Linked DNA regions of Rhinolophus ferrumequinum. The protein of the gene in region 1 purifies or fractionates together with the protein of each later gene. This does not show direct contact. Links are inferred from orthologs where the notes say so. Each region holds a gene or a part of one and is shown on either strand. Other genes may lie near its edges.

Evidence for each region. Proteins that work in one complex are often made in the same cells at the same time.
Region 2: the proteins of NDEL1 (region 1) and DYNC1I1 purify together in Homo sapiens (affinity purification with western blotting; 3 studies listed by BioGRID and IntAct, with this or other methods). This does not show direct contact. The link is inferred for Rhinolophus ferrumequinum from reciprocal best matches to the Homo sapiens genes NDEL1 and DYNC1I1.

Annotation. Positions count from the first base shown.
Region 1 is NC_046304.1:10,628,941-10,636,731, forward strand, and holds the start of NDEL1 (nuclear distribution protein nudE-like 1), read right to left. Parts: upstream 3,343-7,791; 5' UTR 3,211-3,342; intron 1-3,210. UniProt on the Homo sapiens protein: Required for organization of the cellular microtubule array and microtubule anchoring at the centrosome. May regulate microtubule organization at least in part by targeting the microtubule severing protein KATNA1 to the centrosome.
Region 2 is NC_046303.1:31,145,436-31,153,687, forward strand, and holds the start of DYNC1I1 (cytoplasmic dynein 1 intermediate chain 1), read right to left. Parts: upstream 3,288-8,252; 5' UTR 3,042-3,287; exon of another isoform or gene 2,847-3,041; intron 1-2,846. UniProt on the Homo sapiens protein: Acts as one of several non-catalytic accessory components of the cytoplasmic dynein 1 complex that are thought to be involved in linking dynein to cargos and to adapter proteins that regulate dynein function.

The sequences.
Region 1 (7,791 bases):
ATGAAGCATTGTCTTTAAAATTAGAAGGGAAAATTATTTCCAATCCAATATTCTAAATCTAGCCAGTCCCTTAAACAAGTATAAGGATAAAATACAGCCCTTTTTTCAGACAGTCAAAAACTCAAAAAACTTACTTCCTACGTATTAGAAAATGTATGCCACCAAAATAAGAAAATAAATGAAGAAGAAAATGTGGGAATCGACACAAAAGGATAGCTACTATATGATTCTCTTCAAAATCATAAAGACAGAAAATAGAATGGTGTTGCCAGTCCGGGGCTGCAGAGTTAGTGTTTAATGGGTCCACAGGTCCACTTGGGAAGATAAAGAAGTTCTAGTGATGGATGGCGGTGATGGTTGCACAGCAATATGAATGTACTTAATGCCAATGAGCTGAGCACTTTAAAAAAAGGATTAAAATGATAAACTTTGTTAGATATATTTTACCACAATTTTTAAAAATGTATAAACAAACAAACAAAGAAGTAGCATCAAAAAGAGAAAGGGCCTACGTAAGAGAGTGAAAAGGGAATTCCTAAGATGACGGTAGGGGTATGCCAGGACAACACTGAGCAGTAGGAAAAGAGAGCAACCAGCCCAGACTGGAGCATTAGGATAAGGCTGCAGGGAGATGTGTCTGAGGAATAAACGAAAGAAAAGAAGATGGAAACTGAGAAATTATCTGATGTATCTGTTCATATTGAGAGAACTTTAATATCTCTGTTGGAAAGGAATCAGTGATATGTATATAAAAATCAAGGAAATGAAAAACCGAGGCAACTTTCAACTCAAAGAGGGGAAAATAGGCAAAAGAAAGGCAATAATAATAGTAATAATAATAATATATTACGTAGCTCAGAGAACAATGCTTACATAGTCATAGCATCACGTACTTACATAACATAAACATGAATATTGATTTAACCAAAATTTGTGATATAACCATATGAAGAAGACGGGGAGCAATAATGTTGATAGAATGATATAAGAGCGCTATATCTTACTTTTCATAATAAGAAGTCAATAGATAATGACTAAAATAGAAAAAAATACTCACATTAGTTACTTTATTTGGAAATAGAAACAACTAAGATAATTGAAAATGTTTGTCTCTGATAGAGAGAACTAGGAAGTGGAAAGTGGGCCAGGGAATCGCTATTTTTATTGTTAGCTTTGTGTTGTTTTAAAGTGGATATAAAATTGAAAATAATAAAGTGGTATGACATTTATTAGAGGAATCTGGAAAAAGGAATTAAAACTGTAAATATATGTATAATTTTTAACCCAGAAATCAACTTGTAAGGATTTATCCTAAGGAAATAATGATTGTATGCAAAAATGTATGTTCAGTGATGTTATTGCAGCATTGTTTATAATTATACCAATAAATTGGCAACAATATAAACACCCATCGGTAGGAGACTGGTTTAATAAATCATAGTACACCCATGTACTGGAATACTACACAGCTGTTAAGAAAGACAAGGTAGATATTTATAAATTAACATGAGATGATACTCAAGAGATATTAAGTGAAAAAGGTTACAGGATAGCAAGTAGAGTTTGACATAAAAATATTTAAAAGTCTAGTTAATTTCCAGAATATATAAAGAACTCCTATAACTCAACAAGAAAAACCCAAACAATGTGAATTAAAAAATGGGCAAAGGACTTAAATAGACCATTTTGCCAATGAAGATATACAAATGGCTAACAAGTACATGAAAAGATGCTCCACATCACTAATCATTAGAAAAATGCAAATCAAAACTACAATGAGATACCACTGCATACCCAAAGGATGGCTACTATCAAAAAAGAAGAGAAAATAACAAGTGTTGGTGAGAATGTGGAGAAATTGGAACATTCGTGCACTGCTAGTAAGAATATAAAATGGTGCAGCCACTGTGGAAAACAGTATGAAGGCTCCTCAAAAAATTAAAAATAGAATTACTATATGATGCAGCAAATCCATTTGTGAGTATATACCCAAAAGAATTCGAAGGACTCAAACAGATGTTTGTACACCCATGTTCATAGCCGCATTATTCACAATAGCCAAAAGGTAGAAACAACCCAAATGTCCATCAACAGAAGAATGGATAAACAAAACGTGGTCTCTACTCCAATGAAATGTTATTCAGCCTTCAAAAGAAAGGAAATTCTGACACATGCTATACCATAGATCAACCTTGACGACATCATGCTAAGTGAAAAAGGCAGTCACAAAAAGACAAGTACTATATGATTCCACTTACATATGCGGTACCTAGAGTAGTCAAATTCATAGAGACAGAAAGTACAATGGTGGTTGCCAGGTTCCAGGGGGACAGCGGAATGGGAAGTTATTGTTCAATAGGTACAATTTCTCTTTGGGAAGATGAAATAGTCCTGGAGATGGATGGCAGTGATGAAGTATACATTTAACAATGGTAAATTTTTTGTTATGTGTATTTTACCACAATAAAAACTGTTTTTAATTGTTTTATTCTAGAAGTCTATACACCAAAGTGTCAATACTAGTAATCTTCAGGGATGGAATTATGTTAAAACTTTCACTGCCTGGTTTGGATTTTTTTCAACTATGATGTTATCATTTTTAAAAAGTCGAGTTCCATTTAGAAAATGAAATAAAACCTGGAAGAATACCATCTTTCAGTTTACAAAACACTTTCACAATCATTGTCCTGTTGAAGCATCACAAAAATCCCACAACATAGAGCTATTTTGACATTCCTGTGGACGAGGAAACAGGTTCAGAGGGAAGGGAAGTGACTTGCCCACAAGAAAAACAAGGAGTTAGGACTTAACCACAAGCCCCTAACTTGGTCAGCTCAGCACAATTTCAAGCTTCACACCAACTATGTCTCAGTCAGTCCCAGATAAACCTGTCTGAACCCAAGAAGCACTTGCTACAACCCAGAACAATGCTACCTGGGCAGCCCAGGAAATAGAAAACCACATCAAGGTGATGAATTCTCAGAGGGATATGGGCAGATAATGTGATTTAGGAAGCCACCAAAGCAAACCCCTGGTGTCACCCCCACAGGAGCATAGCCAACCTCACAAATTGACCTTAGTCTTTGACAGTCCCTCGTCACATGGGGGTCTGAGAGGGTCCTCAGACCACCAGGAGTCCCCCATTCTGGTGTGTCTCAGGGCGGCCCTCCCCAGACCCTCTCTGAGCAGAACCCCACTGTCCCAATGTACCTGGTCCTGTGTCCCAGGCTTCACTGATCAGATCAACAGCAGCCCTTGGGGGGACGTCACTGAACCAGCTGAAACAAAGTAGAAGTCAACAGGAAGCGTGAGAATCATCTTCTGACAAACGAGGCACAAGGACAGGAAGTGGGTTTGGGCCAGGAAGGCTTGGGCCTGCCTTCTAGAAGTGAGGCAACCCTGCCAGCCTCATTGCTTAGCTGGAGTTGAGCAAGACTTCAGTGCTGGGGAAGTGAAAAAAGAAATTCAAGTCCTAACTCTTTAGCCAGGCCTTCAAAAGTCCCCATTTCCACTGCAGGCGTGTATGACTGTCCCTGTATTTGGAGGGGAAAGGCAAGGGGGAAAGCTGTCACTTATTAAGGGGAGGAGATGCACAGCACATACGGGGTACTTAAGAGAGTAAACCAAGTCAGATAGCCTCCACCTACCACTTCCAGCTGTGAAACCTTGAACGAGCTGCTTTGCGTCTCCGAGTCTCATTTTCCCCGTGTATGAAATGGAGGTAAAACCAGTACTGACCTCATAGTATTGTTTAGGCTTAAACGAGATGACGGGTAATTGGCTTCACACAGTCCAGGTGTCACTTTAGCAGTTGGCAGTGTTCCTCCCCCTTTCTGCCTCTCCAACTCTGACCCACTCCTCCAGGCCGTATCAGGTCAGACCACTTGGTCTGAAGAGTTACCCTGAACACCTGTCACATCCACAGTGGCTACGGCTCTCATGTGTCATTTAGTCTCACCATAGAGGAAAAGCACTATTTGTAAGAACTGCTGCTGAGGCCCATCATTGATGATTCCTTTCCCATGGTGATGTTTTATCTCCTCAGGGTCACCCAGTGAGGGTAGGGGCTGTGTGGATTTGTCTCTGTATCCCCAGGAGCATTCAGCAGAGCACTGGAAGTTAGTCAATAAGTGTTGGTGGACCTTCAAGATGCTATGGAAACACCACCCTTCTTAAAGCATATAGGTAAACTCAGGTACCAGGGCTGAGAACCCATAGCAGTGAGGCTGAGGTTGGGCTGGCTATGGCAAAGCCTTGCACGAGGGCAGGGCCAGGGTGATCCTTGGTTCCCCTTAGCTCCTCCCACAATGCCCTAAAACACCTACAGATGTGAAACGGGGGAGTGTGCTGAAAGCTGAAGCTTGATCTGCCTGAAAATCTGCTCCTGTGCACCCCATCCGTTTCCAGAAGGAAGCCTGCTTAGCCTGCACCATCATTAACTCTCCCTCAAAAGCAACCCTTAGGTCTGTCACCTTATCTGGAGACACGCCCTCCTCCTGGCTCTGTTCTCACCTCCCTGACCCCCTTCTTTTCCAACGATGGCACCTTCATGAAGATTGTCCCTCACCTCTTGTTCCCTCCAGTTTACCACCCCGCTAGGGCTCCCTGCCTTGCTCCATACTTTCTTAGTGGACCCCAAGCCTTGTTGAGGCTTACTATGTGCCAGGTACTGTGCTAAGTGCTTTACATATAATATCCTGCTTTAACCTTCAAATAAGGTAGAGGCTGTTACTATTCCCATTTTACAGATGAGGAAACTGAGACCCAAAGAGGTCATGCAACTTGCCCAAGGTCACACAGTAAGTAGACACACTCTAACTTGTATTGTACACATTACAGTGGGAGTTTACTCTAGGAAGCTATAAATTTGAGGGCAGAGTCCTGGTTGGCTTCTCTCCCACCTCCCATGTTGCACAGAGGTGGGGGACCTTACAGGCAGCATGTTCTAAATGTTAGAATGACTAAGTGTGAGTCATCACCAGGGAGCTTGTTAGAAATGCAGAACCTCAGACCCCACCCCAGTCCTACTGAATCATAATTTACATTTTCTCAAGAGATTCAGGCAATTTGTTTGCTCATCAAAGTTTGAGCCATATTGGTCTAAGTTGAATTGAACAGATGGTGCTATACAGGCACCCATGGGCAAAGCAAGCACAGAAAAATTTAAAAAAAACACCACAGGACTCTTGATCTTTGGGATTTCACCTCTGGAGGAAGCACAGAGCCTAAAATTTAGGGTTGGAGGCTCCCTATGCCCGGGTCAGTTTCCACCTCATCTCACTCAAAAACGGTCTTTGCCCTGGGAGTCTGAGAGTAATGGGAGGTCATTAGAGTGCCACCTGCTGGTCTTGATTAGGTTTGCATCACACGTTTCTGTTCCAGGCATCCTCCTCACTCAGAGCCGCAGGCAGCACAGGAGTGTGCGGCTGGCTGAAACTTCTCCTGGAGATCCTGTAATTCTTCCCAGCCCAGTTTGTTTCTGCTCCCTCGTTGGCCTTAAACACTCACCATTTGCTACTCTTGTCACAGGTTTAGATAACTCCGTACTCCCTAAATGACCGTAATGTAGCACCCCATGTTTGCTTAGCCCCTTGACCTCCTCAATTCAGTTCATTAGACATTTGTTGAGCTCCTACCTACTAGGTGCAAAGCTTAAGACTCAACCGACCTCTTCTCGTTAACGTCAAATCAAGTGGTCAAACCAGGCCCTTAGGGTTCTGACCAAGGCATAAAGATTTAAAACTGATCCCTGCAAGAAAGTACTTGCAACATTCACATACACATATTTCTATGTATGTATATTAATATCCATCTAAAATCAATAAAAAAGGAAGCAATCTAAATATAAAATTGGGCAAAAGATACAGATAAGTTCATAGCAGAAGAAATGCAAATAGTAAAAGACATTTTTAAGAAATGTCCCTATTTCAAACCTTTTTTTAGATTTTTGAAATTATTCTATTTCTGCCATTGGCTTTTTAATGATACATTATTTTATTATTCTTTTAATGGTTATCAAAAATTACAGCATACATCCTTGAATTATTAGTCTACTACAATTTACACATTTACGACTTCCCAGATAATGCAAGAATCTTACAATTCAACTCCACTTATCCCTCTTCTGCCTTTTGGTTATGATTGTTAAATATTTTAATTTTTAAACTCTTAAGATATTATTTTTGTTCTATACTGTCAATATTCATGTATTTTCCCCACACATTTACCTCTTGCACATTTACCTCTTATCATTTATTTATTCCTGCATTTCTTTGCTTCCTTTGGGATCATTTTCATTCTGTGTAATGAAAGTATTTCAGTCCTTTAGTATTTCTTTCAGTGCAGCTCTCTTGGCAATGAATTCTCTCTGTTTTCATTTGTTCCACCTTCATTTTTGAAGAATATTTTTCTCTGTACAAAATTCTGCATTGGCAGCTATATTCTTTCAGTCATTTAAAGATTATAACATGTACCCTTGACTTCCGCTGTCTCCTGGATTCCATCATTTATCTTGAAAATGAGCTGTTAGTATTACTACTCCTCTGAAAGTAATGTTTTTTCCCTAGGGCAAATTTTAAAAATTCTCTTTGTCTTTGATTTTTAGAAGGTTTACTACAATGTGCCTAGGTGGGGATTTTTTGTATTTATTTGGTTTAAGACTTGTAGAGTTTCTTAAATCTGTGGTTTAACGTATTTCATTAATATTATAAAATCTGTAATCAATAACTCTTCAACTATTGCATCTGAACCATTTACTATTTACTTAAGTGACTCCAATTAAATGTAATTTAGATCTTTACACCACGTGCTGTATTCTCTTATGCTCTTTTCTGTATTTTTCATTTTTTCCCTCACTTCATACTTCAGACTGAATATTTTCTACTGACCTAACAGTTTACTAACCTTCTCTCCTGTTATACTAACCTGCTGTTAAACCTATCTGTAGAGTTTTTTTATTTCAGTCATTGTATTTTTCAATTCTAGGATTTCCATTTGGTTCTTTTTAAAATTGTTACTAGTTCTCCATCTACTTTCTTGAATGTATTAGAGACCGTGTATAATAATATCAATATCTTTTTCTCCTTTGGATTTAATGCTATCGTCTTGTTTTTTTTCTCTCTTGGTTTTTGCTTATTTGGATGTGTCTCCTAATATATCTGTTAATTTTTGTTAATTGCTGGATGCTGGGTAAATTAAAAAGTTGTAGAGGCTCTAGATAACGTTATTTCTCCAGGAGAGGTGTAAATTTCTGGGGCTTTTGTTTTTGGGATTTTTTTCCTCAGGCAGTTAGAGTAGGGTCAAATAATTGGATCCGGTCAGGAAGTGAGATGTCCCAGGCTTTGTGTGGGCTGGTCTATTTCTGGATTACCCTTACTCATAAATCATAGTCCCTCAGGTGTCTCAAGTGAAACCCTAGAATATTGACCAGATCTCCCTTTCTTGTCAGATCCTAAACTCCAATTTTTGAGCCTTGTGATTATTACCAAAACTTTAGGCCACCATTTTCTGCTCAGCTTCAATGCCTCCCAAGCAAATCAGCAAATTCCTTAAGGAATTTCCTTAAGAAAAAGCAGTGGAGACGACCCGCCCTCACCTCAATGTGTTTTCTTTCTTATACAGGATCATGTTTACTCAAGTTCTGCCCACTTTGGCTACTCTCTGAAGCCTTAAATCAGGTGTGTATGTTTGCGTGCGTGTATGTGTGTCCTAGTCTGATACAAGCCACTCTGTTATTACCAGAAGCAAAGGTAAACTAATGTACATTTTTTAAAAAGATAATTGACTTTTCTG
Region 2 (8,252 bases), on another chromosome or scaffold:
AAGTTCCTAATAAAAGGGATCTCCATATCAAGGAAACAACTATTTACCTGGCATTTGAGATCCACAAAGTATTACAGGGAATTAGCTAACTTCGTTAAGGAGATAGAACCAAGACAACATTTAATTTCAAAAGAGCAATAGTCCTACTTTGGGTCTGCCACATCATCCACAGCAAAAAAAGTATGGCTATACTTGAGGCGTAAAGGAAATAACAATGGCTCACAGGGAAACTGAACAGCAAACCCAAAAGAACCAGACAAGCTCGGCTTTTTGTTTCACAGAGGACACTAGCGAAAATGGATGAGTTTTGGTCTTAGAGTTGGACAGATCTGACTTGAATCCTACCTCTGCTATTTATTAACTATAACCTTGACTATGTCACGTAACTGAGTTTCATCATCTGCAAAATATGGGTAATTATCTACTTCACAGGATTAATATAAGGAACAAAATGAGATAACATAAGAAAAGAGGCTGGTATTCCATAGATGAAAATTAACCAATAGAATTGTTGACTCTACAGAAGAGTAGAGTCAGACTGCCAGGTTCAAATCCTGTCTCTACAACTTATCAGCTGAGCAATTTTCAGAAAGTTACTTGACATCTTTGCGTCTTAGTTTCCTCATCTGTCAAATAGGATTACAAATAATATAATACCTCATAAGATTTTGGTAAGGATTACGTAAGTTAATACATGGAAAAGTAGTTTAAAATGTAATGCCTGTTCAAGTGCTCAATACATTTTAGTAAATGTAGTATAATTCATTTACTAAATGTCCTGAGCAATGCTAAATTGCTCAATATATTATCAACCTTTGTTTTATTTGGTGGAACAAAGTGTAAGGAGAACAAAATGGTGAGGGAATATACTTATGTTTGCAACAGATGTGTATGTCCTTTTCATTTGATGCTAGATTAGTGACAGACAGAAACAGGGTGACAAGGGAGAATGAATGGCCCATTTAGGCATCTAACTGTGGATGTAGCCTATGCACACAGTCTGTGCTAAGAGACACAGCTGGATTTAAAGACCTGGCGTGTGTTTTAGAGGACTGGACCTCGGGGCTGTTCTGAGTATGGACAGTGCAGCACCCTAGATGGATCCCCAAGAATTTCTTGGGTCTGCACTGGAGTTAAGAGAAAGGCTTATTTAGCAAATGTAGACTTGGAAAAGAGTGGGGAAGTAAAAGGGGTGTGGAAGAAAGCTAAAGAGCCCCTTCTTAGACATAAAACAGGCTGACAGAAATGCTGGGTGACTTCCTCTTACTATCTTAGGAGTTAGAAACTAGAGACCAGGAACCACCACTGTAAGAATCTGCCCCATTGTCCTGTGGGTTGAGTTTCTTTCCTCTGCCCATACCCCAAATGGCGATTATACCTAACGATGTAGATCTTTAACACAAAAAGAGTTCAGGACATGTTTTCAATAGGAGAGGACAGGCTCAGTAGGAGGAGGAGCTGAGCCATCCCTCTCCTCTAGAGCACTGGGCAGCAGAGGCTGCAGTAGCCGAGGTCCAAATGGAGAGGAAGTAGGTGAATCTGTGCCTGTGGCTAGAGACGAGGAAGAAAAAGAGATGTTCTGGTCCCCAAACTGGGCCCAGAGCTGGACAGGCTGGGAAAAGCCTGCACTGGGCCCAAACATCCCCACGATGGTGCTAGAAGACTTTTAAGAGAAATGGCTCTTTGAGCACTGGGTCCTCACACCTTAAGAAATTTGGAAGCGTTGGTGTCTATGAAGAGAACATTGGACAACTTAGTGGTAGGAGTGTCTGGTTTTATTTTATTGAGAAATATGGTCAGAAGCAGAGTTTGGGCTCTTTTTCCCCCCACACCAAAACTTTCAGAGAAAATTTGGCATTTTAAATAATCGGAGAAAGTATTCATCCCATTCCCACTAGGACTCTTAGGATGCAGCTTGCACTGAAAGCTCCATTTCAAATTTACTAACACTGATCACCATCTTTCTCTATAATTTCTACAATGAAAATATGTATATAGACAGTCACTCATATGTGTGCTAAATAGTAGCCCTATGATGTCTTCTGCAGTTACAGATGCTTTACTGTTAGCTGAGATTCCTGCTAATCTGAAATACTTGGAAGCAATTTTTCATAACCTTGAACTACAAGAAGTCTAGCGTGCCCACTTGAAATGTATTCCAGGCAAGAAAATGGCTGGCTACTTTTTCCTGCCCCCTCACCTAGATAGATGTAGCAGAAGCCAGGATAATGATTGTATTCCATCTTCGGGCATTTTTGTTGAGTCTCTGATTTCCTAAGTAATTTCCTGTCCTGATCCTGGGTTTCTGCTTAACCTTATTAGCGGAGGTACAAGTCATGAGACTCTGGCACACTCAGTTCCCATCGGTGCTGCCAGGATCACAGCCCTTATGATGACGACGCACAGATGTATAAGGCCAGAGTGATTTTCGGGAGTGGGAGTGGGGGAAGGAGAACCACGCAGCCGGTAAGGTGTTTACGAAAACACATCCCCCACCCGCACTTTTTTGCAGCCTTGAGAGAAACTGGCATCTTCCTGCGTGCGTGTTAATTAATGTCCTGCTGGAAGTACATTCGCTCCCTCCAACTTGGCGGGTAGCAACAGCATCTAAGACCCTTGCAGACAGCTGAGAATGTAATCAAACAGCATCCTTCTTTCCCTTCCTCTGCAGCTCCCTCCTCCTTCCAGGGCCGTCTGCTGGTGGCCCAGAGGGGTGCGGATTTCACTGCCGCTGGCCTTCTGCTCCCCAAGAGAAGACCGAGGCGGGGCTCCCTGGGACGCCCCTCCCCGCCCACAAGGTGGGCGACAAGGTGAAGACACCACGACCCCTCCTCCTCTGCACTCACCTCTCGGCTCTGCTGGGAGAGCTGCAGGAAGGGGCCGCCGCTGGAGGGCTCTGGCCACCTTAGGGCGCAGCGGAGCACGCAGGATGCTGCGCGGGGCCGAGCGAGGGTCCGGCTGCGGCTGCCGGGGCCGCACTACTGTTGCGCAGGGGCGCCGACGCGACGGCGGGAGAGCGCGACACCCCCCCTTCTCTGTACCTGGACGCGCTCGGCGGCGGCTGCTCTGGATCCCCCGAGCGCGGCGGCGGCCCCCGGGCGACTCCGGAGGGCGGCGGGCGCGGCGCGCGCAGGATGTGCTGTCTCACGCTGCGCCGGCCGCTCGGCTCACGCTCCTCCGGGAGCCAGCACTTCCTCTCTCTCCCCGAGCCTGACACTGACAGCTCCCGGGAGCACCCAGTCTGCGGGGCTCGCCCCGCCCCCGGCCCACGCCCTCCACGCCCCGCGCCCCTCCCGCGGGAGCGCCTCCGCTCTCCCTCTCCCTCACCCGGTCTCTGGAGGAGGGAGTGGCGCTGGTCCAGAGGTGGAAGCGAGCAGGCAACCCGCGGAGGTCAATTGGTCTATCCCTATGCAATCGGCAGGACTCACACCTAAGTTGCTGCAAACAGAAGAGTTTCAGTGTTTTGGGAGCTCCTGCTGACATGCCAACATTAACCAACTTGCACTCCCAGACAATTACTTTAAGGTTATTTAAACAGAAATAGGAAGCTCAGATCCCATCCATCCGCTACACACAGACTTATATGTCTGATTTATCCCTATTTTTTCCCAGAAGAAAAAAATATCTATAGCTTGCCTCCACAACATTGTTTCTTAGAGTCCTAGCTTTTAAAATCCTGGTTATCCATTCTTGGACTGCCCCCAAACCTTGCCATAACTGCTACATTTTAAGGCCCAGGAATGGATTTTGGGATTTTAATCAACTCAGGTTTGGCATCACTATATAGGTAAGCTTTTCATCATGTTTCTTGAGTATCTATGTGTAATAATCCTAACTGGAACTTTAAGGGAACATAATCAGTTGGAAGGATCTGTGAGAGGAGCTAGGGCTTATGGAAATTCTCACACTCGAGAAATGGTGAGAACCCTATAGGAAAAACTCTGTTGATAATAATACTCTGTGGTTCTAACTTCCCTCAGACTTAACTTCCATTTTCCCTTATATAAATACCCTCCCTTGTATAAATGGCACTTAAGCCAGAGTGTGCACGTGGCTTGCCGTGTCTGCATGCAGTGGATTGCAACACTTTCTTCTTCCTGGAATAAATTCTTTTTGGTGACGAAACATGTAGTTGATAATTATTTTTCAGTTGACATGTTTGGTCATTGTACACATTAGAATGAAAGTTAATAGAGGGCAAGGACTGTATCTTATTCACTGCTGCATCCCCAATACCTACAACAGTGTTTGATGCATAATTGTTGCGTAAATGTGTATGAATTTTTTCAGTCAGCAAGTACTACAGTAATTTCAAAATAAATCTAGATCTGGTTGTAAATACAATACCATACTTATCTATAAAATGGCCATCCCTGTTCCAATTTTTGCCTACCTGGCAAATTATTGTGACCATAAATATGGTTAAAAAAGAGACAGGTGAAATATCTTTAAATAGAAAGAATTCAAGATAGTCCAGAAGAAAAACTCTATGAAACAAATACTTGCCTCTGCCATGTATTGGATACTTACTACAATCATGTACTGCTTAACAACAGGGATATGTTATAAAAAATTCACCGTGAAGTGATTTCCTGGTTGTGCAAACATCATAGAGTGTACTGTTAAAAAACAAAAGTTAACCAAGTAAATTTGAAAATCTGATTGGCTTTCTTAAGTGATTTATGAATCAAGCAGCATCCCATTTAGCAACTAAGTTCCCAGTACTCAGAGGAGTTGAACAAAATGGAAGGTTTTTATAAGAAGAAGGATGGGGCAAGGGAGCTATCAACAAAAGAAAACAAAGGATTAATTTTAGACCAGGACAGCTTCTCTTAGGAGGAAGGGAATAGCAAGGATTTTTATCATGCCGATTGCCTCTTCTTTCTATGGGGATGTGGGAGTGGATTGTGGAGAGGGCCTCAGTGACAGATTTCTTCATTGGTGTTGACCAGAAAATTCAAGACTGGTTTATTATGTTTCTGGGAAAGGTTCAAATAGCAATTAGGTCAAGTATTAAATCTAGGTTTGGCATTCAGGGGCTTTATGTTAGCACAAGTGATGCCTTTTTTTTTTTTTTTTTTTTGGCCTGTGGTTTTCTTTTTAACAGTATTTACACAAACCTATTTGGTATAGCCAACTACACACCTAGGCTATATAGTATAGTCTATTGCTCTGCAGGGGAGGAAAAATAATTTTTTCCTTACCCCTCTGTGTTCTTGACTGACACATCCTACAATAAAAGACAGATTAACAGGAGAAAAGGAAGTTTAATAACATGTATACCTCCCATATACATTGGAGAGATCCAGGAAAACTGAGTTAAAAATTTTTCCACGATCATGTACCCAGGCATAGTACAGATATTGGGTGTGGGACTGGAAGTGAATAAGAAAATAATGATCTCTACATTTTAGAGACTCAAAATCTAATGAAAAGACACAACTGGCTTTAACACCAAGCAGACTAGGAAAAGGATAACAATTGAAGACATTTGCCATGAGAGAAGGAGAAGAGGAAAATCCATTCCGGTTGGGAATCTTTACGATCTGGAAGGCCTCGTGGGAGAGGTTCTGGGTATATGTCTATAGTCAGATACAAATTTTGACAGATGGTCATGTGTGTTTGAGAACGGAGTTAAAGAGCAGGCAGAAACAGAGGCATAGACCTTATTTTTTATTGATAGATTTGTTTTTAGAGCATTCTAGGCTTACAAAAAAAAAAAAAGCACACTTGTACAGAAAGCATAGAGTTCCCATATACCCCCCTAAGAATTATAACTGCTCATTGCAAATATACCTGCTTCATCTCTTCATCTAGTTATTGCTCCAAATTTTGAAAGAAAGTCTCTAAGAAGGGATTAAGCAGCTACCACAAAACATGCTGGATAAATTCCTGACTTGCTAGCCACTAAAAGGTTGCTTTAGAATCCGTCAGAGAGACAATGGTATGGCTAAATGCCCCTACTCTGGAATCAGACTCTCTATCCACCACTTACTGGTTTTGTGTATTTGCGCATGTTGCTAGACTCCTCTGAGACTCAGGTCTCCTAGAAGTCAAAAGGGGGTAATAAAGATACTCATCTCCTGTGATATTTCACTGAGTTAATTCTTGTAAAGCATTTGGAACAGCCCCTAGCATATAATTACAAACATTCAATAAATGTTGGCCATAGTTTGCTCTTAGTAATCGAGTCGGCATGAAAAGTTCAAAAAGTGGAAATTTGTACCCTCTAAATTCAGTGTCTAATCTGTGACATTACCAGACTTTAGAGACCACTCAGACCTTGGGGTCACTACTATCCTTCAAGACAGATTTCTCTGTCTCTGTGCACCTATCGTTCATCAGTGCTGGATACAAACATGTCCCCACAGATGGTTCCCTTGTCTGCCTTACTTTCCTAGAGCCCCCCTTCACACAGGTTACCACGATACCCTTATATACCAGACCCCTGGATATCTGCCCAAGAATCTTTCCTGGAAGTTATTCCTCAGTTCATTATATCTTGGTCACGAGAAATAAAACTGAAAATTACCTCAGTGATCCGAAGGCCTGAAAATTACGGAAAAGAAACATGAGACATCTGAATCAGCTATAAAAAATATAAGGTGCTGAAGAAGGAAAAAAATGCTTGGAAATATTCTCTAGTTAAGATACGCCTCTACATCATGCTCAGAATAAAACCCTGTCAGGAAGCTAATAAAACCACCGCCCAAGGTCATATACCATTTTGTGTGGGGTATATATCAGAGGGATATGTTTTACATATTTTTCTATTATAAGACTGAAGTTGGTTTGTTTGCACCAAATCCAAACAATAACAGATGTCCAGAAGCCATTGCATTACTAATGTTTGAAGATTTATTAGAAATCAAAGAGTGATTTATGGGGAAATCAATGATTCCATCATCTAAAGCAACTCCTGCTATTTGTCTTTTGGATGCTTTTCGTGAATGGACGTTAACTATGGTTTCATATAGTAGGTGTAAAGAATCTGCAATAAATAAATAAATAAATAGACACATTTTTTCAATTTTGAAAGAATGAATTCAGAGATATCTGCTGTATAGTTTTAGATTTTTCTAAATGCTTTTTTGGATAACTTCCAAATGCAACTTCAATTATACAGTAATTACCTAAATGTGTAATATAATTGTATTATTATCAGCCATATTTCCACTACTTTCACTTTTGTCTCCATGTGTCTTTGCTCCTCCCACACCTTCTTACATTTCCTTCCATCAGCTTTTCTTTCCAGGATAATGGTAAGCCAAAATGTACGTGTTTTTAACAATCAATAATAAGATGCAACAATGAAAACATCTATACAACAAAACAAAAAACTTTTTAATCTTAAAAAAATTGTTTTAAGCACTAACATTGATGGGGGAAAGAAACCAATGATTACAAAACATAAATTATTTATGTTGTTTTCAATTCACTTTCCATCAGTGTTTAAATATAAATCATTATTTTTCCCAACTGTGAAATCAGCATCTATATCCTTGTTTGTGTTCTGCCTTGTTACTTGTTATTTCAAATTTATATTTCTAGGAATCAAATAAACCTACCCTACCAGAGGAAATGAATCATTTCTTCATTCACTACTTCAGCAGATATTTCCTAGAAACATATTTCATAGTTCTTGTAACTGGTCCTTGGAAGGATTGATCCTAATAGCTCTATCTGCCATAGCTCTCCCAAGACTTTACAAAATCATCTATATTTGTTTAGAAGTAATTAAATGTATATACACTGGTAATGTGCATGTGCCTTTAACCAGCAAACTTGAGCATTTTTCTTTATGGTGCTTTATTATCTGTTATTTCTCATGTGCTAAGTCTTAATATCATTTGATTATTTGAGACATGAAATCTAAATATTTTATGTATTTTAGAATATAAATTTTATATTTTACATGTTTCTCACTTTTCTTTCTTCTTATCTTTACTTCATTATAGAGTCATACCTTAAGAATAATTATAAAACAGTTTGTATAAAACAACACAATTTTATAGTATTAAAGGAATGCACATATAAATCAGTAATATTACATTGAGGTCAAGAACACAGGCTCTGGAGTCAGGCATACTTAGGTTAAAACTTCCTATGATTCACTAGCTGTGTAATTCTCTGCATATTGATTAAACCCTGTAAGCCTCAATGTCTTCGTCTGTAAAATGGGCATAATGGTATTAAGATTGTAATAGGATTAAATGATATAATGTTTATAAAGCACTTGAGTGTAGTGATTG